4 linked regions of the Saccharomyces cerevisiae S288C genome follow. The gene in region 4 interacts genetically with the main gene of each other region. Each region holds a gene or a part of one and is shown on either strand. Other genes may lie near its edges.

Evidence for each region.
Region 1: mutations in LRE1 (region 4) and SOG2 together harm fitness more than expected from each alone (negative genetic interaction), as found in Saccharomyces cerevisiae (one large-scale study listed by BioGRID).
Region 2: mutations in LRE1 (region 4) and CBP1 together harm fitness more than expected from each alone (negative genetic interaction), as found in Saccharomyces cerevisiae (one large-scale study listed by BioGRID).
Region 3: mutations in LRE1 (region 4) and MYO1 impair growth when combined (synthetic growth defect), as found in Saccharomyces cerevisiae (one study listed by BioGRID).

The regions. Positions count from the first base shown.
Region 1 is NC_001147.6:996,383-1,004,232, forward strand, and holds SOG2 (Sog2p), read right to left. Parts: upstream 4,447-7,850; coding exon 2,071-4,446; downstream 1-2,070. Other genes in the region: serine/threonine protein kinase MEK1, read right to left, coding at 1-129; TFIIH complex subunit TFB6, read left to right, coding at 831-1,862; MSC6 (Msc6p), read right to left, coding at 4,765-6,843. UniProt on the Saccharomyces cerevisiae protein: Required for proper cell morphogenesis and cell separation after mitosis. Functions in the RAM (regulation of ACE2 activity and cellular morphogenesis) signaling network and is required for proper ACE2 localization and CBK1 kinase activity.
Region 2 is NC_001142.9:34,012-41,895, reverse strand, and holds CBP1 (Cbp1p), read right to left. Parts: upstream 3,892-7,884; coding exon 1,927-3,891; downstream 1-1,926. Other genes in the region: AP-1 complex accessory protein LAA1, read left to right, coding at 1-507; NUC1 (ribonuclease), read left to right, coding at 713-1,702; PEX2 (ubiquitin-protein ligase peroxin 2), read right to left, coding at 4,162-4,977; oligopeptide transporter OPT1, read left to right, coding at 5,647-7,884. UniProt on the Saccharomyces cerevisiae protein: Responsible for conferring a stable 5'-end on cytochrome b mRNA.
Region 3 is NC_001140.6:149,885-157,665, reverse strand, and holds MYO1 (myosin 1), read right to left. Parts: upstream 6,001-7,781; coding exon 214-6,000; downstream 1-213. Other genes in the region: YHR022C-A (uncharacterized protein), read left to right, coding at 6,360-6,449; YHR022C (uncharacterized protein), read left to right, coding at 7,321-7,781. UniProt on the Saccharomyces cerevisiae protein: Required for cell division.
Region 4 is NC_001135.5:34,266-41,552, reverse strand, and holds LRE1 (Lre1p), read right to left. Parts: upstream 5,689-7,287; coding exon 3,937-5,688; downstream 1-3,936. Other genes in the region: YCL048W-A (uncharacterized protein), read right to left, coding at 1-65; YCL049C (uncharacterized protein), read left to right, coding at 829-1,767; APA1 (bifunctional AP-4-A phosphorylase/ADP sulfurylase), read left to right, coding at 2,752-3,717; PBN1 (Pbn1p), read left to right, coding at 6,160-7,287. UniProt on the Saccharomyces cerevisiae protein: Overexpression affects chitinase expression, cell separation and budding pattern, and increases trehalose accumulation and heat resistance by inhibiting protein kinase CBK1.

The sequences.
Region 1 (7,850 bases), on a different chromosome or scaffold from region 4:
CTTTACTATAGGTATTGTCTGCTCTGTATTATAGCCGCCTACATTAACTTCCAGGTGAGCAGGAGCTACGCCACCTGCCATCTCAATATCATCTTTGGTTGCAAGGTTGCAGCTATACAACGGTCTCATTCCGCTCTTCTTCTTTCTGTTGTATATTTGGTCCTTAATAAAATTTGAAACGTACAAGAGCACTCCAGAAGGAGCTCAAGTAAAAAATTAGTCAAACCTCTCCCTTTTATACTTGAATGAATGAAATAGCCGCCGAAATTTAGCCGCCATCATTCTTCTTTTCCCCGGCTAAATTACCACGGTATGCTTTATGATTGGAAAATACCCATAAAGTAGGAATAAACTACAAATGATTCCACTTAATGAAAGATAAGCAGACAAATATACTGCATATAAGTGAAAAATAGTGAGGAGATCGCTATCAGTCAATATTGTGAAGGACCTACCTACTCTTTTTCTAGATATATATTTTTTATTTGCACAGGACCCCTCTTGCATAATTGTTCCTACTAATACGGTAGGTAGCACACAATTTTACACCACTTGCTTTACAATCATACCTCATAGGGCCTTCTTATTCTGATAATGCCCCTTTTAGAATGGCTAAACTGCTTACGTCCCGCTTTCTTACGCACTGCGCGCAACATGCAGGAAGAACAAACAACCTCGCCCTGTTTCCATAATGAAGGTCCTTGAAATAGAAGCCCCACAAAAGGGTGGAAATGTGGCAGAATAAACAGTAAGCTAACTGTTGTAGAGACTCCAAGCCCTGGTAAGGAAAGAAATATTATAAAAATAAAAGATTTCAACACAGTATTTTGATGTCTGAGCCAAACACACCATTACATGCTCAACCGAATGAGCAACTGGACTTGAACAACTTAAATGATCTAGATGAAAAAGACATTGATGATTTAAACTTGGATCCAAACTCAGATGTAGAAATTAGTGCAGACTCAGGTGATGTCGTAAATTCTAACATAGACAACGTTATATGGCAGCGTAATTGTAATAAGAAAAGAAGATATCATACACCAGAATTCAATGATGTTTACAATGAAACTAACAACACAATCAACGACGTAACTATGCTCGATGATGTTGACGATTTCCAGCCTAGAATAAACGTGTCTTCTCCCTTTTCGTCTGCCACAAAGCTGAGTGAATTATTGCCAAATGATCACAATGGAACGTCACACCCGAGAAGATTGTCAATGTCTCAACAATCCAAATTCATCTCTTACGTTGATGATCAGCTTTTACAAATTCAAAGAAAATTTGTTCAATCCAGGGGCCTGAATATCAAAAACGGCTATGCCAGTCTTACTCCGCTGCTGCAGGATTTAAAAACTTTAGTTGACTTCGTTTGGTATTCTATTGCCCATGTTCCAAACTCAGACTATTTACTTCAATCAGAAGAAAAGAGACATTGCCCAGATTCCCGAAACCCAAAAGATACATGCGGATATTCTAGTTATTTTGGTCAAGGGTCCTATTTAATAAAAATTGCGGACGATCTCATCGATTACGTTGAAAAATTTACATTCAAAAATATGGAAGACTCAGAGATTAATGACACTTTATCCAAATTATTCAAACTCTTCTTCATCCTTGACAGGATATTTGTAATTCTAACTGATGATAATGATAATTGCAAAGAAGTCCCTAAAACGTCTTCAGCCAGCAAGAACATAGCAGGATTGAATGGGACTGATATTGTGAGGTTAAAAGGTATCGCGGAACGAACAAGAGTTCGCCTACCCATATTTTTGGAATCCCAGGGTATCCATGGTTACCATTATGAATTAAGCAAGATTTACGAGGGATTTTTAGACCATGCCAATTCATTTTAACATTTACATTCAACCAGTGGCGTGTATCTTTTATACAATAAATCTGTAACTTTTAAAACTTCTGTTTCCGAACTCCTCATTTTTCATGCATAAATATATAAATATATATATATATATATATAAAGCATACATTTCAGTACCATGGGGTATATGATCCTCCCATTACGTATTCTAAAGTTCGCGTTTTCTCACAATGCAAGTTTTTATATTACTCCGGAGAGTTGGCGCTTACTGATACAGCCTTGTATGAACTCAAGTCCAATATCACAGTGACATCCTTGGTAATCTTCGCCAAGTTGGCTAGGTTAGGTCTCAGCTCATTCAAATTAGGCACGTCGCTCATTACGATTTTAGTATTAGCCAGAATTGATATTATTACTTTTAAGAACGAATTCATTATCTCCCACGTTTTCAGCTTCTCCAAAGATGTCAGATACTTCTCTGAATTTGAATCGTTCGGTATTAATACATTTAACCTTTCATTCAATTGTTTGGATAAATCCATCGCTTGACGACATGTTTCCGTCAAATCACGAATTTTAGGTGCTAGCGAGTCCGTCAAAATTTGCTTTCCCATGGTGCTAGCAATGGCTATCTTGGATATCTCTGAAGTTAACTGGTTATATACAACGCTCACCATTTTAACTACTGTGGACAACGTTTGATACAGTTGAATGTCAATATTTGTCTCCACTACATTAGCACTACTGTTCGCGGCACCACCACCATTCATCGGTGGTGGGGTTATATTAACATTCGAGACGTTATTACTATTTGATGCGTTAATTATTGAAGAAGTCATAACCGGATGCTGTTTAGGTTCATGCGCCTGTGACTCTTTTTTCGAATCGCTGATGGATTTATTGTGCTGAAGCAGCTGTTGCCTTGGAATAGTATCGCTAGTAGTTTTTACTTCATTCATGTTCGTTTGAGAACTTCCATTGCTTATTGCATTTTGGTGTCCCAAAATTGGACCATGGGTGTGTGCACCATTTAGATTTGGTGATAAAAGAGGAACAGCAGTGGTATCACCCGTCAGAATATTACTATTTGAAAGCAATGCAGATGCAGATGGTGTTCTTGTGCTCCTTGTTTTCGGCAGTAATTTTATGTTTCCGCTACAATGTGTACTGGTCGTACTTGCTGCGGGTCCTCCACCGCTTGTGATACTACTGGACGATGTCTCGTGCCTCGAAAAAGAATGTTTCTTGGGTGCCTTACTTGCAGAACCGGACACTTGATCATCTTCTTTGATAAAAGACCATGCATTATACATTTCCATATAAGCACACATTAATGTCATATAAAACATCCTTATGAAGCATAGATCGTCTTCTTTGAAAAAAATCTCAAAATTTTTTCTCAACAATGTTATAATTTGTTTAAAATTTGTGATGATAGTGAGGCACAGCTTGATTAACGCCTGATCATGCGATTCGTCTTCGTTCTCTGTTTGCTGCAAGACCTCCACCAGATTATCAGTATGTGATCTGACAGAGTATAATAATGATACTACATTAACCGCTACGGCCTTCTCTTTACAGAAAGAGGCGATTTTTCTGATAGCTTGTTGGCATTCTGTAAAACTAAATAGGAGCTTCCGACAGGAAACAACCAACTCTGCATGCGATATTTTTTGATGCCCGTTACTCATTGACTCTTCTGGTAAAATCGACAACCTCTTGAAGTAGTCATTATATTTGGTGTGATTGTATAGTTCCGTACCATTCACTGCCCCACTTTGTTCTGATTCTGCATTGACTGTACCACTGAAAGATGTTGCAGAGGTTTGATTAGATGAGACCATTGCAGTAGATGCACTTATAGTTGTATTTGCACTTGGGGCAAGTGAAATTATATTGTTTTCATTCATTGCTCCATTAGACAAGTTCGTATTTATGAATCCCATTCTTTTCGCTGCTCTAGATATTTTAGGTTCTGGAGTAGGTAGGTTAGGATGATCTTTTAGATATCGTGATATCGCAATTGCCCAATATTCTTCTTTGGGGATGCCCGTATGAAATGGAGTATAACTCTGTACTTGGTCAAGCTCTTCTTTGGGTATTTTATTATCCTCTAAATCCAAGATGCTCAGCTTGTTTAATTTTGTGATCGATTTCAAATTACGTATGCTAGTAACGTTGTTGTCTTTCAATGATAATACACGAATATTATCTTGCCAAAACGATGATATTTCATCTGGCAATGCTTCAATCTCATTGGAGGACAGATCCAAGATCTCTAATTGAGGGCATTGTGTCAAAATATATGGGATTTCTTTAAAATTGTTATTATGCAAATCCAGATATTGCAGCCTTGATAACCTCTTGAAACTCGCTGGTAAGGATGTTAAGTGATTTTTCCTTAAAGACAGTCTTTCAACATTTTGGATATATCCCACATCTTCATCTGATATGGACTTGATATTAAGAGCTATTAATTTTAGTGTAGTACCACTAGAGCTGGATTTCTCTTGTGTTGCCAACTCAGATATTATAGTGTTGCTTGAATTAGTGGATGTTTTGTCAGCAGGCAAATGTTCCTCCTTCGGATCCAACGTCCTCTTTGAAGATGTCGCTACCATACGTTACGGATACTTATAGACTTAACTCCCCCCAATAAGTTCAGGTGAAAAGTAGCATGGAGTTTTGGCATTAACTTTATTTGCCCACTTATATTTAGAGATCTTGAAATACTTTTTGTTACCCGACTTGTAGCTTCATTTTTTCATTTTTTTTTTTTTTTTTTATTTTTATTTTGTATTGTTCTTTGAAAGAATCATGCATGGAAGCAATAACTATTATACGGAAGTTATATACAAGAAATCATTATATAGTTACAGCATCATATGTGCAGAAAATTGGTTCTGAGCTTTTCTTATTGTCTTCTTATGACAAGTGTATTAAGTCAACTTTTCTGGAACAGTAATTCCATCACATTCTTTTAAAATTTGAATATCCTTAGGGTTGGGACGAAAACCCTCATTAGTGCCTAAATCTCGCATAAACTGGTTAATAAAAGCAACCTCTTTGTCAGATAACTGCTGAGTATTGCGTGCAAATGTGGCCAAGTTGAATAGAATTTTCGAAACGGCCAAGTTCGACACCCTGATACTTGAATCCTTAGCTAGATTGTAGTACTTTTCGATGTAGGGAACGTACTCGCTATGTTTACTCTTGTAAAGTTTATCACAGAACCCCAATAATAAAGCATTTAGAGGCGTATTATCCACGTTTCTCTTTCTAGTCTTTTGATATGAGAGAAAATCAGAAAACAAATTCTTTGCCTCGGCCACTGTGCCGTCAGGCTTATTAAACTCTGCGGAAATAAAGTCTGCATAATTCCTAGCATTTAAGTGAGTTCCCAATTGTTTGTAAAGTTGACGAATCGGCTCGACAGTGGGGCACACTGAAATAAAGGCTTTCGTAATCTTTTCAACCTTTTCATAATCGGTGGGATTAATGGAAACACTTTGCAATAGATCGAATTGTGGGCGTGTATCTTCTGCCTGAAATTTATAATTAGCGTACATTTTAATGCTTAGAGTATCCAAAGTAGGGGGTAACACACCATCTGATGGATAATGGTTATAGTAAAATGTGTTGAATTGTTCTTCGCTCACTTTTTCATCATCTAACATTAGCAATAAAACTTTATTGAACAACTTCTTGGTTTTAACAGTCTCTGCTAACTCCCCTTTGACTTGGTCATACTTTAGAGGCGAAGTTTGACATAAGGCCAGGAGAAATGCTTCCTTCACGATGGGATCTTTCTTGAACTTTTTAGGAAGTTCTTCTTCCCAAAATTCCTTTAAATGGTTGAAATTTCCAGAATCAGTTAGTGCGTTAACTAGCGTCGCATAAGATGTGTTTTTAATATTATCTCCTGGTTTGATAACACTGTTCCAGACTGCTAGAATTCTGTCCAACTTCTCTTTACTCGATTTAGCTCGTAAGTGCGACACAGCTCTTAAAAGACAATCTTTCAGCGACGTACTATTTGGGAAAACCTTGCTATACTGGTTATAAATAGTAACAACTTGGTCGGGTTTATCCAAATCAATAAACTTGTCCATGAACTTGCTTATGATCTCTACATTTTTCTCACCTTCAAGTTTATTGTATTGGCCATAAAGATCCCTTAAATCTATCCATCTAGGAGCATTTTCAATTTGACTTAAGAAATGATCACTATCCTGTACTGTGTATTGATAGTACAAAGTGTTTAGATTTTTGATAATCACGTCTCTTCTTTCAAGAGAGCTAAATTCTGTACTTAACATTCTTCTAATCATGTTAAAAGGTAAAACCTGGCCCATTTTACGATCGATCTGTAAAATCTTATACAGAATATTGATATCCACAGTATTCTCTGGTAAAGATAAGTAAGCAATGGTGGTAATTGCAATATTTTGCATATGTGCACGAGAAGAACTATTTTGAAGTAAGATCACTGGGTTTTCGGAAATGGTTTCCAAGTACTTCACCCATAAGGCAATAACGTCCTGTGGTGATTGATTATATAGAAGGTACTTTAAAACAATCGTGAAATGTTGTGAGCGTGCCAATTTGTATTGGCACAATGTGTTTAATACTTGATAAGGATCTAGCGTCATATTTTTGCTTCTGTAACTTAATTCCTGTAGGAGATCCGAAGAAAAATTCGCTAACAAGTGTGATCTTTCCATAGGTGAAGGGTTCCTTAATTTCTGTTTCAACGATTCAATCTTATCTTTAAAGTCATTAAAAACTTCATTGATATCTGAATCTGGAGCTTTCAACTCGTTCTTCAAATCAGCAGCCAAATTTTGTACCCTTTCAAACGGTGAGACGTGCTTTTCTCTATTTCCTGAATGTCCATCATCTGTTTCTTGTAAGTGAACGCTGCTTTGTTGGTATATCGATGTTGAAGAGGTTAGACATCTTCGTGAAATAATCACCTTTGAACAATCAAAGGCCCTTAAAGCATTATGGGAAAGCATCTGTATCCCAGTGGAAGGCTCTGATATTATTTTGTGCAGAGCCAACTTAAGCAAACATATAGACAGTACGTCCTTAGTTAGACATGTGTAGCAATTGAACGATTCCACAGGCGGTATGTATATCGTATATGATGATATTACATTTTACTTACCCCGCTTTTTCCCTCTTATAATCGATTAATTACTTAGTCGACGAGCAACCTTTTATGGCATATTTGAAAGGTAATACAATGTTCCAACTTCGTTTTTTATTCACAGATCAATTAACGTATTGGCACACCTGATATTTCCTCAATAGTAAGTAGTTTTGGTGATGTAACTTTGACACTACCTTCGACCGAATATTCACTTATAAAACTTATATATTACTTGCTTTTACTTCTAACTTGTCTGGAGAGTTCAATCTTTGTTTTCAGCTCTATATACCGGTTTTCTGCATCGGCGGCTAAATGGTATTCTTTTCCGCTTGGCTCTACACAATGTTTATTAAGCTGAGCGTCGGTGTTTCCGATTTGGACCGTTTGACTTTCTTTTTGGACTGGTTTTCTTTTTTAGTACGAGGTGTACGGACAAAAGATACTAACGGACAAAACGCGGTTGCAACTGAAATTTTTTTTTCACTATTTTCGTAGGGCACATTGGTGTAAATATATATATATATACTCAAGGTTCATCTCGTTTTTTTTAATATTCTTGTTCCTTACTCTTGATCATACGTAGAATGTATGTCTTTATCCTGAAAGTAAAGAAAGGATTATACAATGCTGAAATGTTAGTACTAAATATGAGCATACAATCACTTGTTGTTCACTAGTTCAACGAGTTTCATTCATATTCAACTCACGCAAGGGATTATGGAAGAAGAATCCTTTTTATGAAAGGGAAAAAAAACCGAAATACTATGTTAACTGCTTCCAACGCTCTATACTAATGCGCATGAAGATTTTACTTGCGAATCAAACTGATTCGCACGCAATATCTAAGTCTGCTATACCTACCTTACATCT
Region 2 (7,884 bases), on a different chromosome or scaffold from region 4:
GAACTGAATCAGTGCGCAAATATTCTCTCGGAGGCATTGAATAATCCTGCTACGCAGCCAATTGCTCTACAAGGCTTCAAGAGAATAATATCTAATATTTTCAAATACCCGTTGTTGCAGTATTTTATGAAGTTGGTTATAAAAAGATTCTTTCAAGATATTCAAACAAACGATTCCTTATCGCAGGCAAGCATTAAAACTAAGTTGATAATTCAGTTTTCCGAGGAAGTAATCAAACAAGATCACCAAAAGGCATCATTGTCAATTGCTTTATGTCTTTCTTTCTTTGCCGCATATCATAGCGCATATACAGAGAAAATAGACAACGAAGTAGCAAGTGGCATAGTTGCTTTGGCTAAATTGGACAAAAATTCATTTAAAGAAGCCATTTCTAGCACTATAAGTCCTCAACAAAAAGCAATTATAGGTTCCGTGATGGAGGCATACGTTAAATCGCAGTCTTTGGGCTCTGTCGAAGAGGCCTTTCAACTGAAATCTTTCGACTAATTGCAAGTCGGATGCATATGCACGGAAATAAAACTCATCGCGAAAAAAGAAAAAAAAAATAAAATCTGTGAAAAAATATCAATGGTGCAATTGGTTATTGGTCACTCATCAAGTAATTTGTTAGTTTTTATAGAGTTACAATTGTATAAAGATAAGAACATTTAGTTAAGTTCCCCACTTATTAGATCCCAAAGTTAAAGTTATCATGTGCAGTAGGATACTCTTGTCCGGTTTAGTCGGACTGGGTGCTGGTACTGGCTTAACCTATCTTCTTTTGAACAAACATTCTCCAACGCAAATCATTGAGACACCTTATCCACCTACCCAGAAACCTAATAGTAATATTCAATCTCACTCTTTCAACGTCGATCCTTCCGGGTTCTTCAAGTATGGTTTTCCTGGTCCGATTCATGATCTGCAGAACCGCGAAGAGTTTATCTCATGTTACAACAGACAAACTCAAAATCCTTATTGGGTCCTCGAACATATAACGCCAGAATCATTGGCTGCAAGGAATGCTGACAGAAAAAATTCCTTTTTCAAGGAAGATGAAGTAATTCCAGAAAAGTTTAGAGGTAAACTAAGAGACTATTTTAGGTCGGGCTATGATCGAGGCCATCAAGCCCCAGCTGCAGACGCAAAATTTTCTCAACAGGCCATGGATGATACATTCTACTTATCCAATATGTGTCCTCAAGTAGGAGAAGGTTTTAATAGAGACTATTGGGCGCATTTGGAGTACTTTTGTAGGGGATTGACTAAGAAATATAAGAGTGTAAGAATCGTGACTGGTCCATTGTATCTACCCAAAAAGGATCCCATAGATAATAAATTTAGGGTTAATTATGAAGTTATTGGCAATCCACCCAGTATTGCTGTTCCAACGCACTTTTTTAAATTGATTGTTGCAGAAGCACCAACAGCCAATCCTGCTAGAGAGGATATTGCTGTCGCGGCATTTGTATTGCCAAACGAACCGATATCAAATGAGACGAAATTGACTGACTTTGAAGTTCCTATAGATGCTTTAGAGAGAAGTACTGGGCTAGAACTTCTGCAAAAAGTACCACCTTCAAAGAAGAAGGCATTATGCAAAGAGGTAAATTGTCAAATTGTAGTGAGAGATTTCTCTAACGCGGCGATCAAACAATCGAAAGATGTGAAATTGTTACCTCCTCCAAAAAAAAGGAATTGAATGTACTGAAAAACTGTAAATATAAATTAATTCATAACACAACGATAGAATAGCATGAAAGAATATAACAAGTCTAACGCATATAACATAAAATAATACATTTATTTGATGATCAAAAAAAGAAAAGAATTAGGATGCAATGCTTGGATTTAGTATATATTTACAGAAATTTGTTTTGTTATTATTTGCTTTGTTATTTATATCGTAAATGTGCGTTTGGCCGTTCATCTTAAGTAACGTTTGACAGCCGACACACCATGCTTTTTAATATCTTGTATGATCTCCTTGTTTGTTTTGAACTCTGAATTTCTAATTTGATGTTTTAAGATGAAATTCCAGTCTAACTTCAATTCCTCAATCGTCATACCGTTCTGGTATAGTTCTGCGCACGCCCAAAGAAAAATGTCTGTTCTTCCTATCTGCAGTGCGCTTAATGCAATATTCCTTAAAATAGTAAACCTGTTTTGATTATTCACTTTTAATTTGACATCACATGGGGAGGATGCAATGAATGGGTTACAGTTCGATTTTGTCCAGTATGTTTTACTTCTCTTTGCAGCATTTATATAAAGTAGTTTTGCCAAATCGATATCCTTCTTGGCATTGGCAACAAATTTACCATCTCGCTTTTTATAATGACAAAGTTTTTTAATGTATAAAGCGGAAACCACATTCCAAAGAGAGTTTCTGTGGTCAGGATCAAAATCATGTGCCTTCGTCAACAAATCGTTTACAAGTGCCATCAAATTATCGGTGAACTTGACCTTTGAAGCCAATTTCCAATCAACTACTTCGTTAATTATTGACCCATAGGCTAACATTGCTTGTCCGGGGGGTATAGTATCGAGTAATTTGACTGCCTTAGCGATATGATCGAGGTTTTGTGTTTTGAAAAGGTGAATAATTATTGCTTGATAATTTTCTTGCGAAAGCGCCCTGAAATTTGTTGTTATTTGCTTCAAAACCCTATCTACACCGTTAGAATCGTTAAATTTCAAATGCATTCTTAGCAATGAAGAAAGACATCTCTTGTTAAGCCAGACAATATGATGGTTTTCGGGTAAAGTGTATCTGTTAATGTTCTGCATGAGTTCCTTGGCCATTGTTAAAGAGTCTTGCTTTGTAATGAAGTCAATAATTGCCGGTAATATCAAAGGGTTATTACAATAGTACTCTGGAGTTAATTGCCAAAACATTTCGCTACATATAGATCTATAGGCTCTATTATGGGTACAAATCTTGAAGACTTTATAAATGATTCTGGAATCATGTGCAGAAATGGAAACATAGTGCTCTTTGATTTTGTTCCAAATAGAATACACACTTGCAACATTTCCTCTTCTATAATTTTCATCAATGGACTTGTACGCAAGCAGCACTTGATCATCCCGAAGCTTCAAATCGTTAGTCAAAGAATAGTTTATATTCATCAGTTTGTTCAGTATAGCCTTGCATAATTGCGGGGCTTCATTACTTAAGCCGAGGGCCTTATTAGAAAGAGTTTCTAATTGAAACCTCGTTAACTTTATTCCGCCTCCGGTTATACTTTCGAACAGAGAGTTCAGTTGTAAATATTTGACTAGATGAACATGATCATGCAGTGGGTTTGGGTACGCTAATACTGATATTATTTTCTTAGCATATTGTTCGTCTAGCTTTTTATCATCTGTAAATAATCTGTAGTACAGCAGGAAAAGGTCGGCAGCCATAACTATGTCTCCTGTGCCGATGGCATCATCAACACACCAGCGCATAGTATCCAATTGCGTAGTCAAGGGCTTTTGATGTCTTACGGATGAAACTTGGGAGACCACTTGATTGACTAGATCCAAGTTTTTCTTGCATTGGTACAAACATTCTCTTCTATAAATTCCTCTTGTAGTCATAGATGAGGTTTTTGTGCGATTGATGAAACTGATGAAATCTTCGATCTTGACCTCGTGTAATATAGAGCTTTCCAGTAAGCTATTTTCTTGTTTCCGAAGACTTTTGTAGTCCGCCATGTCAGACCAATATTTCCGTATTTTCAACTTGTCATTGTCATTTAAATTCGCATTTGCTTTGATAAGGGCCAAGACCTGTTTTTGAATTGGATCCCTGCTGCTGTGGTTGATTCGTCGCAAGGTCCTGGTAGGTACCATTTTTATAAACCTCTCGGTCCTGTACCGAACGAGACGAGGTAAAAACATTGCATGGAAAGGGAAACGTGCAAAATGCAAACTACTGCTATCCTAAAGTGCTCACTGTTTATTATTACTGGATTTCAGACGTCGCTTCCCACATCGTCCCGTACAGCGTTCCATGATGATATTATACCACTTCTTTATTGTTTCTTTTTTTTCTTGAGCAGAAAGTGAAAAAAAAAAAACCAGACCCTTTACCACGTGACCGATTTTGACAACATGAATATGAATATAGTATACACATATATAGAGATACAAGCGAGGGAACGGGGCCCTTTAGTACACTGGTGAGGCGGTCAGTCTCCCAGAGGATCCACAGGCATCGCACATAGACCACTCCAACGCCTTTACAACGCACACGTAACAGTAGTTCGCACGACAACAAGCGATCTGGTATGGGTTGGTTGGAAAACCGCCGCAACGGGGGCAAACTGTCTTATAAGTAGTCGTAGAACGAGACCTTGGTGGTTTTTTAACAAAGGTCAAGAGTCCTCTTTTCGTAAGTAGTGTATTGGAAAAGAGTTCTAATAGTGCATTCCATAGCAATTGTCTATTCTGGTATTCTAACCCAGCGAATACAGAGTTCGAATAAAATTCAGAGGCAATTGCAGAACCATCCCGAATCAACCTTGTGGAATGGACATTAAAAGCCCGGTATAACGGCGACAAAAACGCCCTCGCATTGGGCCCTTCCGCTGCTAGAAACCTCAGGAAGTTGGTTACATCACAGCCGTGATACAATAAATTAACCCATTTGTACAGCTTCAGCCACATCATCTGGTTCCCACAGTGCGGCCCATTAAAAATAATATGTGTGATCTTCTTCCACACGTACCCTGCCAAGACAGTGACGACATACAAGGTGCGTTTCCTGCACTGAAAAACCACGCCACTGAGTGCGGATCCATACGTACAGCTAGAGCCATAGTGTGGCAGGAACCTCGTCGCGCACATAAACACAACTGTGTTCAGTGCCAACTCCCATTCCTCTTTGTGTTCACTCGTATTGAATGCTGCATTGAACTCGGACCAAAACTGTCCATACAATTCTTTATCAAGCGCTATCGAGTCGAGCTGTGCAACTCGAGACATGCTGCGTTGCCTTTAGATTACGTCTTCTCAGTTATCTCGGCAATCTCTCCTCGTTATGCTTTCCCTCCGTCTTCACTCATCCCTTATAATGCGTTTCCCAGCAACCTTATCGATAGAATGGAGGGGAAATCGCATCCGTTCCACTCCTCGGATCGATACTAACTTCCGAGACGTTGCATCAAAGGCCAAGACATGGCATTAGTCACCCTTGTTGCAACGATAGACGCATACTACGGACCCCTCAAACCTCCCTACCTGCCCGTCGCTATCGCATTAATTTTCTTTTTTTCCACTATTTTTCCGGCCCGCCACACCTCCGACTACAAGACGCCACATCTACGTTTTGTCACACAAAATCCAGGACAATAGCCGTCTGCAAGGCACCAAGGTTTTCAGCAGTTGCTTGTTGCTGCTGCCTGTTAATCACATCAAACCCACTGCAAGGGCAGTCGATGGGTCTGTAAACGCCTTAGCAATCGTTGTTGAAGAAAGAGAGCTCTTATCATCATGGGGTGCCCATCATTTTTCTTTTTTTTTCAAATTTTGGGCTATTCAATGAATTGTTTCGACTATATATGGACAATCATCGGAAGCTGTGTATTCTTGGTAAAAAGTTTTCGACTGTGTGGCAGAAAATAACCGCAACAATTATATAACGTCACAGAACACATGAGTACCATTTATAGGGAGAGCGACTCGTTGGAGTCGGAGCCCTCGCCAACGCCAACAACCATTCCTATCCAGATCAATATGGAAGAGGAAAAGAAAGATGCTTTCGTTAAGAATATTGACGAGGACGTCAATAATCTCACTGCGACTACTGATGAGGAGGACCGCGATCCGGAAAGCCAAAAATTCGACAGGCATTCCATACAGGAGGAAGGTCTCGTTTGGAAGGGCGACCCTACATACTTGCCCAATTCTCCATATCCTGAAGTGAGATCGGCGGTGTCCATCGAGGATGACCCCACCATCCGCCTCAACCACTGGAGAACGTGGTTCTTGACCACGGTGTTTGTGGTAGTTTTCGCCGGTGTTAATCAATTTTTTTCCCTGAGATATCCATCGCTAGAGATCAACTTCCTTGTTGCACAAGTTGTTTGCTACCCAATTGGTAGGATACTGGCTCTCTTGCCCGACTGGAAGTGTTCTAAAGTGCCATTTTTCGATTTAAACCCGGGCCCATTTACCAAAAAGGAACACGCCGTGGTCACAATTGCCGTGGCGCTTACTTCCTCTACTGCATACGCTATGTACATTTTGAACGCCCAGGGAAGCTTTTACAACATGAAACTTAATGTCGGATATCAGTTCTTGTTGGTTTGGACATCTCAAATGATTGGTTATGGTGCTGCAGGTCTTACCAGAAGATGGGTCGTCAACCCTGCAAGCTCTATCTGGCCTCAGACTTTAATTTCAGTGTCCTTGTTTGATTCGTTGCACTCGAGAAAAGTTGAAAAGACAGTCGCAAATGGTTGGACGATGCCCCGTTACAGGTTCTTCTTAATCGTCCTTATCGGATCGTTCATCTGGTATTGGGTACCTGGATTCCTCTTTACCGGTCTGTCCTATTTCAACGTTATCCTATGGGGGTCGAAGACAAGACACAATTTCATCGCTAACACAATCTTTGGTACTCAAAGTGGTCTCGGTGCGTTGCCAATTACATTTGACTACACCCAGGTTTCCCAAGCCATGTCCGGCTCTGTTTTCGCCACACCATTCTACGTCTCCGCCAACACCTATGCATCAGTGTTGATATTCTTCGTCATAGTGCTGCCATGTCTTTATTTTACGAATACCTGGTATGCCAAATACATGCCCGTCATTTCAGGTTCTACTTATGACAACACTCAAAACAAATACAACGTAACAAAGATTCTTAACGAGGATTATTCCATTAATCTTGAGAAATATAAGGAATACTCACCGGTATTCGTTCCATTTTCCTATCTTTTGTCGTATGCTTTAAATTTTGCCGCTGTTATCGCCGTTTTTGTCCACTGCATCTTATACCACGGTAAAGATATTGTCGCCAAGTTTAAAGACCGTAAAAATGGTGGCACTGACATTCACATGAGAATCTACTCCAAGAACTATAAGGATTGTCCCGATTGGTGGTATTTACTTTTGCAGATTGTCATGATCGGTTTAGGATTTGTAGCAGTGTGCTGTTTCGATACTAAGTTCCCAGCTTGGGCATTTGTTATTGCAATATTAATTTCCCTTGTAAATTTCATCCCGCAAGGTATCTTGGAAGCAATGACTAACCAACACGTAGGTTTGAATATTATCACAGAATTGATCTGCGGTTATATGCTGCCTTTAAGACCAATGGCAAACTTATTATTCAAGCTATACGGATTTATTGTCATGAGACAAGGCTTGAATTTGAGTAGAGATTTGAAATTAGCCATGTACATGAAGGTTTCCCCTCGTTTGATCTTTGCCGTTCAAATCTATGCCACTATCATATCAGGCATGGTTAACGTTGGTGTCCAGGAATGGATGATGCATAATATCGATGGCTTATGTACCACCGATCAACCAAATGGCTTCACTTGTGCTAATGGTCGCACGGTTTTCAATGCTTCCATTATCTGGTCTTTGCCAAAGTATCTTTTCTCATCAGGGCGCATTTATAATCCGCTGATGTGGTTCTTCTTGATTGGTTTGCTATTCCCACTAGCCGTTTATGCTGTTCAATGGAAATTCCCTAAATTTAAATTTGCTAAGCACATTCATACTCCTGTATTTTTCACAGGCCCAGGTAATATTCCACCAAGCACACCTTATAACTACTCATTATTTTTTGCAATGTCATTCTGCCTAAACTTGATAAGAAAAAGATGGAGAGCTTGGTTCAATAAGTACAATTTCGTCATGGGGGCCGGTGTTGAAGCAGGT
Region 3 (7,781 bases), on a different chromosome or scaffold from region 4:
ATTGAATCGGTTATTTTCTTTATTTTATGTACCACCTTTAAGACTACTATCGAAGGATACGGGGTGAAAGAGTTCATGCCACTTAGTATATAACGCTCGTGTCGTCTTTTTCTGTTAATAATGCATATTCTCATTCTGTATATACAAAACATCTCATCATTATTTTTTTAAATAAAGGATATAAAGTCTTCCAAATTTTTAAAAAAAAGTTCGTTAACTGAAAATTTTACTCTGTGCATTGTTACTATCAATATTTTTCGAGCCTATCATGGTAGATTCATAACGGCTTTTCCAGAATTCAATTTCTTGGGCCATTTCCTGCACTTTGTCGCGGTAAGAAGAATTATCTCTAATGGATTTTTTCATCTCAAGCTCTTGTTGAGAAATGTACTTTTCTAAGTCAGAGATTTGAGCCTCATATTTCAAAGTAGCTTCCTCAAATTCGCTTCTATTTTTATTCGCTAGTTCTATTACATCTGTTTGTTGGGAGTTCTTAGTTTGTAACTCTTCCACTGCTCTCTCCAAACTCTTGTTCTTTTTCATTTCTTCATATTTCAAGTCCGTTTCTAGGCTTACCATATTTTCCAATTCATGAATCTTTGATAACCATGCGTTTTTTTCAGTAGTGTCTGATAATCTTTCATGCAAATTTTTTAGTTGAAGCTGTAAGTCGGTGTTGAGCTTTTGTAAAGTTTGATTTTCTTCATATAAATCAATATTCTTCTGCTTCTCATCATCAAACTTATCTTTATATCCATTGCAGCTGGCCTGTAATGTCTTAACCAACTCCCCATTCCTTGAATTTTGTTCCATTTGCAGTTGTAGTGTTTCCTCCAGATATTTGATTTTTTCAGTAATCTCTTTATTCTTTTGTGTGGAACTTGAGAGTGCTGCGTTTGATATCTGTAGCGCATCAGTCTTTTGATTTAAGTCAGATTCCAGTTCCTGCTTGATTTTAGTCAAAGACACTATCTTTCCTTTAAGAGACTCGCATTCAGTATTGAGTGCCTCGTATTTCTGATAAAGTTCTTTTTCTGCAAGAGAAATAGCATCTTTTTCGTTGTTCAACATTTCCACCACTTTTGTATAATGATCGAGCTGCTTCAGCAGATCGGAGATTTTTGCTTCAGAATCATTAGTCGAAGTTTCCAGTTTGTACTTAAGGGTTGCAAATTCTTTTTTTAAGTTTGTTTCAGCTTTTAAAGAGCAGTTCAATTCTTCCTTTAATCTATTAATCTCATCCGTATATTGGGATCTATCTTCTACAGCGCTCAATCGCTCCTTTAAATGGGCCAAATCATCACTCAGGATTTTCTTTACATCTTGGACTCTCTTCAACTCCAGCAGAGTTTCCTGTAATTGCATATCTGAGTCATTTCTTTCCATTTCGCGCTCCCAGATTAACTTTTCCTTTTGCTTATTTTGAGTTTTCAATTTTTCAATGATAGACGCCATATTCTTTACGTCCTCTTCAGCTTGTTTTAGTGCATGAATATGTTCTCTTAGCCGCAGTTCATTCCCTTGCAGATCGTCCATGCAGTTTTCAAATTGCTGTTTCTGCTGTTTTATTGTGGATGATAGTAGTTCTTTTTGGCGTTCCGTAGATTCAAGGTCTTTCTGTAATCTGTCTAATTGTTCACTAAGTAGGGCTTCTTTGGATTTTGATTGCCTCAAGTCAAGAGTGAGTTGGCTCAATTTTCCATTTGATTCATTTAATATTTCTTGGAGCTTGTAGTTTTCAAGTTTATAATAGCGAATTTCTTCTTCATATTTTGAAATGCTATCACGGTTCTTTATAATATCTCCGACAGGTAAATTTGTTCGATCACGTAAAGGCATGGTTTTTAGCTTGTCTTCCAAGGATTTGACTCTTTCTTCACTGGCTTCGAACTTCAGTTTGTAAATATCAGAAGATGACAGGGAGCTTTCCCCTTGGATCTTTCTAAATTTACTGTGTAAAGCAGATATGGCATTTTCTGCATCGTAGTGAGCTCTTGTTTCGATATCCAATTGTCTTTTTAAATAATCGACCTCAAGCATTAATTTGTTAATATCAGACTCTTTGTCAGGGCAGTTATCTAGCGGCTCATTTAGAATACTGTCCAAAGGAATACTAGGGTCCATATCCTGGATCAATTTTTTTAATTTCTTCATTTGTGCCTTAATCTTTTGGTCCTCAAAAGACGAAGATGCTAGTCTTGTTTCAGTGAATCTCAATCTAGAAATTAAGTTCTTCTTCTCTTCAATTTCATTCTCTAGATTCCTAGTTATTTCAGTAAACGCTAATTGAAGGTCATAGTATTTTTTTATTATATCTTCTTTGTCAAGTGGATCATCTGAATACGATGTGGAACGTCTAGTAGACGAAATATTCGTTTCTACAGAATTTCCTGATATTCTTTTGTTTAAGTATTGATTTAAGGATATTTCCTGTGACAACCGAGCTTCCAATTCTTTAATTTTACTATCGTTCAGAGACTCAACCAGGCTATTTCTTTTCTTTTGCTCCTGTTCCTTCGTTTCTCTTTGGAAGTTGGAATATTCTTCTTTAATCTTTTGATAGTTAGATTTATACTCGGTAAGTTGGATTCTTGTCTCTTTTAGTTCAGCAGTAATTTTACCATGTTCGCTAACTGCGTCATCTCTTTGCTTGGAAAAAGTAGCAAGCTCTTTTTTGTGATTATCTATTTTTTCTTTCATCTTTAACAGTTCACTTTCCTTATTTTTCAACTGGTTATTCAGTGCTGCCTTTTCTTTCTTGAAATTCTCATTTTTCGAACGCAAATCTGAATTTTCTGTTACAAGGGATTGTAGTCTTGACATCGCAATGTTACAATTTTTCTCTAAAGTGACCAATTTTATGTCAAGATCTTCTTCTGAGGAACTTAACTTATCGTTGAACGATTTTATTTCTTCCTCCTTCGAGTTTATGACATCTTTTAATCTCTTTATTTCGTTTTCTAGCTTCAATTTAGATTCTTTGATTAAAGACTGGGAGCTCTGTTCCTTAGAAATGTCACAGTTCAAGTCTGATATTTGCTTTATTAGTTCGTTATTTTTTGAGTGTAATTTCTCTAAGGTCGCCTCCCGTTCTCTAATAGTTTCTTGAAGGCCTTGGATTTTTTGATGAGCTTCTTCAAGATTTTGCGCAACTTCTAGTTTTTCCCTGCTAATTTCATCCTTTTCAGAAACAAGGTCATCGAATTGTTTTTGTAATGTTTCTGAGCTGGTTTTAACTCTATTTAATAAGCTCTCATTTTTTCTTAAATTCTCTTTCTCCTGATTTAGCAAGTCCTGCGTATTTTCCAACTCATTGACAGTTTTTTGGTTCTTTTCTTCCAAAAACTTCTTCTTAGATTCCATTTCTTGAAGGTCGTTCTTCAGTTTATTAATTTGCTCGTTGAATTTTTTGGTTCTGGTCATGTCATTGGATGATGTTAAAAGTGGCTTGATCCTGATAAATAAATTAAACCAAGGATCTTCCTTCACCAGTCTATTGTATAATCTGAAGGTATTACCAATCACCCTTGTTTTCTTTAATTTTTGTAGATGGTACGTTATTTCTTTTCTTACTGTGTAACCTCGTATAGTTGCTGTTAGTTTAATCATAATATTATTCAGCTTAACATCTTTTTGTTTTTCCAAATCTGCCAATACTCCAGCTTTGAAAAACAGTTTAGTATTACCAATTTTATAAACTTTTGTATCCAGTTGCAAAGACGTTAGAAGAAACTCACAGTTTTGTTTGGTACTGGCTTTTAATTTAGAACTGAAAGTCGTGGTGGTTGAATTTTCAGGATACAAGATCCTATACCGCTGGAAAAATTCTTGGAATGCTATCCTATTTGGGTAACCTTCTCTGGCAAGTCTAATACCCTCTAGCACACCATTACAACGTAATTGATCTAAGATTAACCTTCTGTTAAATGTTTTCACTTTTTTCACGTTGTTTGGAATTATACAACGAACAAAATGTGGGTGGGTAGAAGCTAGTTGATTTAGTAATGTTATCTGCTGTTCTCTATGGCGTGATGATGTAGTCTTGAAGGTACTTGTCCTAGCTGATTTCTTAACTTCTTGGTTGGAGATGTTGGCTTCCACACCAGCACTAGAAGATTTTTCGCCCTCTGGCTGGAACAGTTTTGAAATGATATCGTTTTGTGAAGAAGACAACAAAGACAAGAGATTATCGTTTAAAGGATCTTTGTTTTTGGATAACCAGCCTTCCACAGTGTATTCCACATCCCCAGCATAGTGTTTCAAAATGAACCCATTTTTTAATCTTGAACGTTTAAACTTTGAAGAGTTTTGGTCCCAAGTTGAGATCAGTTTAGAGTAGAATGACTCATCAGTGGATTTGGGCAAAACGGCTTCCTCATCCAACAACGGTAGTACACCGGTCGGTGGCCCCTTGCTTTCGATCAAATCAATCGTCAGTTGCAAATCTTTTCCGTAATCTATATAATCCCATTGAATGTTTTCCTTTAAATATTCGCTCTGTTCTAAAACAAACATATGGTTATTAAAGAACTGCTGTAATTTTTCATTTGTATAGTTGATGCATAATTGTTCAAAGGAATTATTTTCGAATATTTCAAAACCAGCAATATCCAACAATCCAATGTAATTCAAAGTTGCACTCCCATGGTCCAAGTTTTTATTAATCATATCCACAATATATCCGAACAACCGCTCATAAAGATTTCTTGATAAGGCATTCAAGATGAACTTAGCTTGTTGAGAGTTTTTGGACTGTGAAACCCACTCTTTTCCGGCTTTTGATCTAGGCCTTAATATGGCAGTTTGGAAATCTTTTTCGTCCACGCCTAAATTGCTACAAATTGCGCTAACATCATTTTTGAAAGATGCTTGTTCTGCTCTGTCTGATACGAACTCAATGTTACCGATTAATAAAATAATTGCCACTACTTGAAATATCCATCTTATTTGATCTTTTGAAAACCCAATAATATTCAATGCCGAGAGCAGTTCTTTAAAATTCTCTACGTCGTTGATTCCTGGTATAATATCCTGGTTAGAATTGGATAAAATTTTGTAATCTTTTACGTTCCTAGATTTAAGGCGTAGATTTTTCAACTCAGAATCGTCTAAACCGGATAATAGTTGGTAAAATATATGATAATTTCTTTCTTTCGAATTTTGATGAACAATTCTTGATTTCTCTAAAAGGTACCACTCGATATGCGCACCATTGATCATACCATGTTCATTAAATTCTATCTTTATGAATTTACCGAATCTTGAAGAGTTGTTATTTCGTACAGTCTGTGCATTACCAAAAGACTCTAAGATAGGGTTACTTTGTAGAATTTTCATTTCGAAGCTTTCTACAATAGAACTACCACTAACAGGAGCTATATTGGAAGGAGAGCCAGAAGTTATAGATGCTAGATATTGTAGAATCTTTTTCGTATTTTCTGTCTTGCCCGCACCGGATTCACCAGTGACTAAAATAGATTGATCTTTTCCTTCAGATAAAAGATTCTCATAGGCTTCTTCTGCAATTGCAAATATATGCGGCGGCAGTTTTTCATGGGAGTTTTCATCCAATCTGCTCTTTGATAACCTGTTATGCTTGTTGTGGTACAAGTTTATATGGTCTTCAGAATATAAATTCAAATTGTGATAAGGGTTAATCGCCACTAAAAATAAGCCGGAATAGGTGTATATTAGATCACAATCGTACCTCTTTTCTAGGTTATAAAGCACAGACGGCTCATTCAAATGGGTTAACTCAGACATATTCTCTACTTTGTCAAAAGTCGATGGGTTAACTGGAAATACATCGGATATTCGTACCTGCACTAGATTAGAAACCTCTGTGGAATCCAACGGGTGGACAATTCCTATTTGTTCTTCTTGGCCTGTAAATTTATTCTTGTTGATATCGGTACTCATCAGCTCCCCTTTTACGAAAACTTCTTTCTCATCTGGTATCCAGACGATCATATTAGAACTGCAAGACTGCCCGCCGGTCATTATTGCTGTTGTTGTCCTGTCTAACTTTGTTATGATCTTCTAACCACGAAGTTCGCAGGATTCGAGATGTAATCAAGAAAAAAAAAGTAGTGTGGAAGAGTATGAATAAAGTAGCTGGTCATAAACAATGAACAATCAAAACAAATACACCAAGAAATTACAAATGTTTACGCAATTACCCTTTTGGGCTAAATGATGAAATCTCGAAATATTCCAAATTCCAAGGAGGGTAAGAAAAGCTATCTCAGCATTACCCTGTGAATATTTTTCCGATTTTTTTTTCACACCAAAAAAAAAGTAATGCTATACAATGACACATTTATGTAAAGGCTTTAACCCGGAAGAGAAAAGGGATATGTATGAAAATCAAATTCTCAAGAGGGGCTCGATTTTCAGCGACCTTTTCTTTTGATAAGTACCCTTTCTTGCTATACGAGGTGGTCCGATAATATGCCCCTCCTTTATCTTTTTGTTTAGCCTTTTGACTTCGTTTCACAATAGCATAAAACCATCCATGTAAAGGTATAAGGCAAGGTTTGCCTTCCACGTTGAAGTACTAAAAATAAATTTTACTTTTGACGGAACAATGAATGCTGCAAATATTCCATTGCGTGATTTGAAAAGCTACAATATTTGAAAAGGCAATGTGTCGCTTTATGAGTTAAAAGTGCCCTAGCTTGAGAAGGAGGTGATGCGTTACTAATGCTGTAACAAAGAAAATTTTGCGGACGGTTCTAATCAATCTTCCTGCGTCATGTCAGTGCGCTTTGTATGTCCTGCAGCAGTATTCGGGTAAGATCTTGACGGAGGAAAAAAAATGCTTTAATACGTAATGGTGCAACGATCTTCAAAAGGGATACTCAAGCGTAATATCCCTTTGTAAAAGCTACGTCCATTTTAGAGGAGATATAGGGATTAAGATTAACGCTTTGTTTAAAAGCCATGACCTTGATTATTAAACGCTATTTTTGTCGTCTAAACAATTTTTTTTTTTTGCACTTCTGATAAGTACAACTTGTAGAAGTTGTTTTTCATAAGAACATCAAGGGCAAAAAAAAATGTCGTAGAGATCGTCTATGCTTGCCTTCTTTGAAAAATCCTTTTCAAGTACTTACCTTAACGATCTTGGCTCGTTACTTATTATTTAATTTCAAAAAAATCTAAGAAATTTTCAAAGGAATATATACAGGGAGAATGTATATAAAGAAACGCTGAGCATGTAAATTGTATCTAGAGAAATTGTTAAGGTTCTGCTCTGTGTTGGCTATCCTATTTTTTTGTCTTTTTTTCTTTTAATTATACCGTATTAGGTCAAACGCTATGAGTGTTCGCTTATCATACGGCGCAAGCCTTGCGTCAATCCCAAGATGTTTCGACTTGAAATCTTCGAAGATTACTGTAATGGGGGATGATCATTCTGGAAAAACTTCTCTGGTTCGCAGTTGGCTAGGTAGTTCATTTCAAATATCAGATGCTAATCGTTATAGGGTTTCGGACCTCTACCACAAGACAATCCAATTTGATACTTTGGTAAAATACTATCGTACCTTTGGCGTAAAAGGACAGTTGCCGAATTATGCGGGTTTCAAAGCTAAAAACTCTGGCACAATTTATGAAAGTTGTGGCAATTTCCTAGAAGAGCGCCTGATCAATGCCAATAAATCGACTGCTCAAAGACGCACCAGTATTGATGTTCAAGTTTTTGATACCAATCAAATGGAGGTTTCGTACCTTTCGGAGCTAACTACTCTTCAAATTAGGCAGTCTGATGCAATTATATT
Region 4 (7,287 bases):
ATGCCAACTTGGGCGTTGATAGCAGTGACTGTAGCTAGAACAGCGACAATGTTTTTGATTTGCATTATTTAACGGAAGTATAAGGTTTGAAAAGGGAGCTTTAATTGTTTTAGCCGTTATCGATTTAGCGGTGAGAATGAAATAAAGAAAAGAGGAAGAAAAGACATTACATACAAATTTTTTTCAACTTAAATGGAGGTTATGTACTTTCTTATATAGATGCTAATCTTTTTTTTTCATCTCATCACAGATTTACGTCGTCAATCTACTAACTTCCCTTATCTTCCCTAAAGGGTATCTTACGTTTCCCCTTAGGGAAAATGAGTTTTGTCCCACCTTCCCTTTGGGAAAAGGCAATGTAAATCTTAGAGGCAAGAACCACACTTGTTGATAAGATCAGCTGCGTAACAGTGCGCTAGGCAAAGGGATGGAATAAGATAAATCCCTTGTTATCCCTTTGCTTTTAGTCTTATGTTGGGGAAGTCCACAAGTTATTGTTACATAAAGGAGGAGAAGAAAACTAGGGGAATATTTATAACACTCGCATTAGCTGATCGTAGGAAAGCAACACAAAACATATGCATCAGCTGGCCCTGTTTGTCTTGCTCATCGATTGATTTTGCAAGCAAAGCTGGGATACCCGAATGTGTATGGTTTTCCTTTTTTTGGTATTTTTCTCCTATAAACGAGCTTTTTTTCGTCTTGCATTCAGATTTAAATAGCTGCTTCTAAATATATACTTTACGCAAGAGGGTCCGGTCCCAATAGGAACCAAGCTATTGCAATTCCAGGGTTCAAGAGAGAAAAATCTGTAATCACTTCGAACCAATGTTTAGTAAATACCTCGTAACTGCATCTTCCCTCTTTGTGGCTTTGACCTCTGCAGCATCTACCGTTGATCTAGATGCTCTGCTTCTTCTACCAGGGGTCGAGTCCCACGACGGCGTTGATACTGTATTTTCGACCAAAGACTTTTATCAAGTGTCATTCGTCAAATCCATTGCTCCTGCTATCGTAAACAGCTCCGTAATCTTCCACGATGTTTCTCGTGGTGTGGCTATGGGCAATGTCAAGAGCAGAGCAAGTATCTTCAACCCAGAGGAAACGTATTACGATTGGGAACAGTACCAAGTAGTAAATAACGGAGACTGGCGAACCGAATGGGCACCTGCCTCTGACTGCATTTGGAGGGAGGAGAAGGATAACAGCGACGAAACACCGGACAGATTCCCCATCTCGGTGCCATATAATTGGACGTCACAGTACTCAATTGTAGATTATGACACAGACGCTAACGAAGACAATTTAGATTTCAGGTTTATTAAATCATTGCTAGATAAGAAAAATTGGTTGAAAAAAATTAACCAGACTGTTTCCCAATCCAGTATTATGGTAGCACCAATGATTAGGCCATACAATGTGGTCCAGCTTTGGTATTCAAAAGATATGGTTTGGGCAAACGTCCAAAGACAATATTGTAGCGGTGTTTATCCAGGAGGGACTCAATGTAGCGCTTGGTCCAGGTACTACCATGTTGATGCACCCACCTGCGATGAGCCTGTCGCCTCTTACATGACCAAAATGTTGGAAAATGAGGTTCAGTGTCCCAATGAGAGAAACGCAACTACCCTAGAGCCTCTCCGCCTGAATAAGCAGGGAGACTCTGATTTTTCTTTGACTTTCGAGGAAGAGGAAGAGGAAGAGACAGGATCTAAATCTCTTTGGAGTACATTGAAAAAAATTTTCTCTAAAAGAAGTATAAGTTGATCTTAGTTGGTAGCACTTTGATGAGGTCTCTAGCAAAAAGTCTACAAACAAATTCTTGAAAGTGTTTGATTGTATATCGATATATCAGAAACATACATATGATTTTTATCTTGTGAATATTCATCAAACTCCGTTTTTAGCCCCCGTGTAAGTTACTTTAATGAGTATTTGATCCTTTTTTTTATTGTGTTGGTTTTTATATGTTTTGTTATGTATTGTTTATTTTCCCTTTAATTTTAGGATATGAAAACAAGAATTTATCAAAGAAAAAAATCTTAGCTTTAAGAACTACAAAGTAAATAAAAAATAATAAATCACACCGGACAGTACATGAAACTGGACATATTTGAGGAATTTCTTTTGAAGAGTTGAGCATTCAAACTGGCCGGTCTTGCTGTGGCCTCAATCCACTTGAGCTCCAAAGAAGGCTCTGAAATGCTTATTTTTTTCAAGCGATACAAAGTAAACAGTTACATACCTGAATGATACTACCACAACTATTTACATTATCGTCCTGTCAAAAGGCGAATAATCAGAACTGTTTGTTAACATGTCATTTTATAAGAGCGGCCTGAAATACTGTCATAAGTGGTCTGTCGAAAGTAGTTATTACGGCGTCGGGCGTCGCGAATAGCTCAAAAGTCACCCCAGCTTACACGATATTCCCATAACCTACAGCAAGAAGCTATTCTTGGATACAAGCACCAGTTACAAGCACTGCATTCATATATTGCCTTTTACTTTCCTATTCTGTATTTGTGTGCTAAGTGTCCTGTTTCGGAACGTTCTAGAAGATTTTCTTATTTTTCTCTTTTTCAGTTTTTTTTTCATCACGCAAAGGAAATACAATACAAGGTTAAAATGAAGGAACTAACATTACTATTATTTCCAATTTAAAGTTTACCTTAAAAGACAATAGATTGATCTTGAAAGCCAGTTTAGATAGATTTTAGAACAAACAGAAAAGTAAAAATTAAAATAAAAATGAGTATCCCCGCTGACATTGCATCTTTAATTAGTGACAAGTACAAAAGTGCCTTCGATAATGGTAACTTAAAATTTATCCAGACTGAAACAACGAAAACAAAGGACCCAAAAACCAGCATGCCATACTTGATTAGTCACATGCCAAGTCTGATCGAAAAGCCAGAGCGTGGCCAAACTCCAGAAGGAGAGGATCCACTAGGCAAACCTGAGGAAGAATTAACGGTTATCCCAGAATTTGGTGGTGCCGATAACAAAGCGTATAAATTGCTATTAAACAAATTCCCTGTAATCCCTGAACACACTTTATTGGTAACTAACGAATACCAACATCAAACTGATGCCTTGACCCCAACCGATTTATTGACTGCTTATAAGTTGCTGTGTGCCTTGGACAATGAAGAATCCGACAAGAGACACATGGTCTTTTACAATTCTGGTCCAGCCAGTGGTTCTTCATTGGACCACAAACATTTGCAAATTCTGCAAATGCCTGAAAAGTTCGTCACTTTCCAAGATAGACTATGTAATGGTAAAGAACATTTCCTACCAACTTTCAATACTGAACCTTTGCAAGATGCTAAAGTCTCGTTCGCTCATTTTGTCTTGCCAATGCCGGAGTCTGAAGAAACTGTTGATGAAGACCTATTAGCTATGTGTTACATCTCCATATTGCAAAGAGCTTTGACCTTTTTCCAGGACTGGTTGAACGAAAATCCAGAACTAAAGAAATCCTACAATCTTATGTTAACCAAGGAATGGATCTGTGTCGTTCCACGCTCGAAGGCCTTTTCTGATGAAATGAAGATAGGTTTCAACTCCACAGGTTATTGTGGTATGATCTTAACCAAAAATGATGAAGTTTTCTCCAAGATTACTGAAAAACCTGAATTGATTAACGATATCTTATTGGAATGTGGTTTCCCAAACACTTCTGGTCAAAAACCAAACGAATACAACTATTGAGTCCTTCACAAGTACAAGTATACACGTATACATGTATGTATATATATGTATTTAAATGATAGAAGTAATTTCTATATGTATATGTCTATTCAATTTTTATTTCTGATGACTTTGAAATTTTATATTTATTATTCTACACTTTATTATTAAAACTACATGCAATCAATGCCGTTAAGGTTACGATTCACCTTTTTATTACTTATTATTAATATTGTTGTATTACTTCCTTGAAAAAATATGTCTAAAGAGTCCTAATTTGGATTTTCTTTTCCTCCTAACTTCACTGTCCTGCGCCTGCTTTCCTAACGCATCATCGCTAATACACCAGCTTTCATTGCTTGTTGCTGCGCTGTTGCTCGCATGGAACGTTTTCAGTGCGTCATCATCCTGGGATAAACTAAAGACTAAGTCACCAGTTTCATTTGAGGCTTTTCTCTGCGCGTTGACAAAAGAGGACAGATCAACCATATCACCTGGTTCACCCATGAGAATGTCCTTACTTAGTTGCGAATTGGTTCTGATCTGCCCTTCAGACTTGGAATATTCATTACTGTCATTACTTTTAAGCCTATTCATTTCTTCCTTGCCATCAGGCGTACAGGATTTGACCACAGAGTGTTGAAGGGGTGCATCGTCCGCTCTCGTAATAACCCCTCCGATACTATTTTCATTGTTGACACCGTTGACTGAAAAGGGCATGGACTGTGCATTAATGTTTTCATTTTTCATCATATCATCATATGGCATTTCATAATGTTGACTCTTGTAGTTGAAGATTGAGTTTATCGTGTTACTGTTTCGTCTACCTTTCATATTATCAATCAGGTTGCGGTGTTGCATGTGGGAGATAGGACTGCCCGATCTTCTTCTTCTCGATTCTCCACTAAAATCCTGTCTTTTATCGCTATCCAGCACACGATTAAGCTGTGAATTGCCGCACTTTTTAGGATAACCATCCTTGGCATATCTAGGGTTATCTTTTAGTGGAAAATTATCACTTTCTAAGTTAATGTCCGCATTGCTGTCATAAAAGGATACTGGTGTTGCGGGAGTAGATGCTAGTTTAGAAGGGGTATAGGCCAGGGAAGAAGGTGTCATTGCCTGATTGATTGTCATTGAAGCAGCCGACCTTTGTTCTTTTGGAGATTGCGAGTCACAGCCTACGGTCAAAGGTAGCTGCTTCGTATAATGATAATATCTTTGCTTTTGGCCTTTGATCTTCAACGAATTGAATGTGTTGGAATTCCGTGCATTGGCGTTTTGCATCCCATGGTTGTGATGGGTCGGTGACCCATTGAGAGCTGAATCATCTACATCAATGGCCTGTTCAGATACACAAAGGGAAGGCCGCAGTGGGGATAATAGTGCTGTTGGAAGCTTTTGCTCATAATATTCATTTTTCGATTCTGGTTCAATTAAGGAGTCCTCTTCTTCTTTAATCATAGAGTTAGAACCGGCTGCACAATTGCCCTTATCTACCATAACCTCCAAATCAGGAGGAGCGGATTCAGATCTTCTATGTGATTTAAATGACCTAGGCCTTGTCTTCAACGCATCGTCAAGGTTAATAATGGCATCTGGGACGCCTTTAACTGGCGATGAAAAACTTGGCTCTTCACTAATGAAAAATCGTGGACTTGGTGTTTGCAGATTGTTCTTTGGTGATAACGGATAAAATCTTGGTTCAGGCAAATCTAACGTTCCAGCGTCTTCATTGGTTTTGCAAGGAAATCTATTGTAGCGTATTGGCGATAATGTACTTGATACAGCAGTTGGGGCAGTTGAAGGACAATTTTCAGCCGCCTGTGGAGGTGGTAAATTCACAATTGCTGCAGGCTGTTTCAAAAAATCAAAATCTCCTGATATTGCTAGCGATCTGCGATGGCGGTGACCTCTTTTGGATGGTGTAGACAAAGTATTTACAGGATTTGGCTCTGATATTTGCACATGTTGAGTATGCGTATTGGGCATTTTCCTATTCTGAGAAGGAGTATGAAATAATTGCCGAGGGTTCAGAATGCTCTTTTAGAAATAAAAATGAATGTAAATAGTTGGAATGTATCTTTAAGTAGACAAATGCAGGTAAGTTTTAGTGGCCTTTGCGGATTAACAGTATGCTCTTAGTGCAAAACACGAAAAGAGCTCCCAATCTTTGAACACAATCGACCACGGAGGAACAATACACGTAGAAGGGGATAACTAAAACTTTGTCGTGCAAGAGTATTGGAGGACACACTAACAGCAGAACTTTGCCTTCTTAACTCTTGTTTATGATTGCTTGAAGTATTACACATGTAATAAAAGATGATTATTTTTTTTTTCCTAAAAAAAGTTCCTTTCTTTGAAGATCCCCCTGATAAAAAAGATCAAATAATGGAAACGCTAATCATAATCAAATCGGGAGGAGAATAAACGCAAGAAGTGTGCGTTTCTAGCTGAGTAATGGTGACAAGACATAGAGTGACTGTACTCTACAATGCCCCTGAGGATATCGGTAATCATATGCGCCAAAATGACACTCATTTGACTGTTCGTGGAGGTTCTGGTGTGGTTTTACAACAAAGGTGGCTATTAGAGAGGACTGGAAGCTTGGATAAATCCTTTACGAGAATCACTTGGAGGCCCAGAGCGGACTTGGCTAGAAGTTTAAGCGTTATAGAAAATGAACTGAGTGCTGGCTTTTCAGTTTACTCAAATTCTTCGGATGTGCCGGAAAGGTTTATTACTAACCCAGTCTACAATTCATTTCACAGTGAGAAGTTTGACATAGAGCAGTACTTGCCTCCCGAAGTAGATTTGAATCTGTCATGGAATCCAGAAGATTTTACATATGATATATCAGTGGAGCCCACACAAATCCAAATTGTTGAATATCGTCTGTTGAAACAGGGTGAAGAATTTACAATTGCAAGAGTGAAAGATGAGAAACTCGAAGTAGGTGTATTCTTTGTGGATGCAAGTGATGAAAGTGATGTCGATATTGGTGGAATACGTTGTAATTGGAGGATGGACGATGGTAAAATGGAAAGATGTCAGAAAACATCCTTATTGTATAAACAGGGCCATATCGCATACAATCACTCGACGACTACGACATCACTATATCTGAATGAACCTATCGGTTTGCATCCAAAAATCATGATTGATCTCACAGATTTCGAAGAACGCCCTAAATGCATGTATCTAATGCACCTGCAATTGCCGTTAGAATTATTTATCGATAAATTCCAATCCTCTCCCTTACTACTTTTTGGAGAAGACGACTTAGAATTACCAGAATACTCTCTTCGAGATAAGGCATGGGGTTCTGAAAGTATCTTTGAATTGAAAGCCGGCACAATGAATGAAGTGACATTGCATACTAGATATATTGAGCCTTCTAATAATAAAGGGGATAAATTAGAAGTTTCATTTGATCCAGAAGTTATATTAGCCTGCGACACAGGTGACAATAAAGTTTCCCGTAATCCATTTTATAAAAAAGGTCTAGGATATGAATCTCTCTTTACAGACGATACTACATTCCGCCATTTGAACTCGACAACTCTTCTAGTACCAATTCCAAGGCCT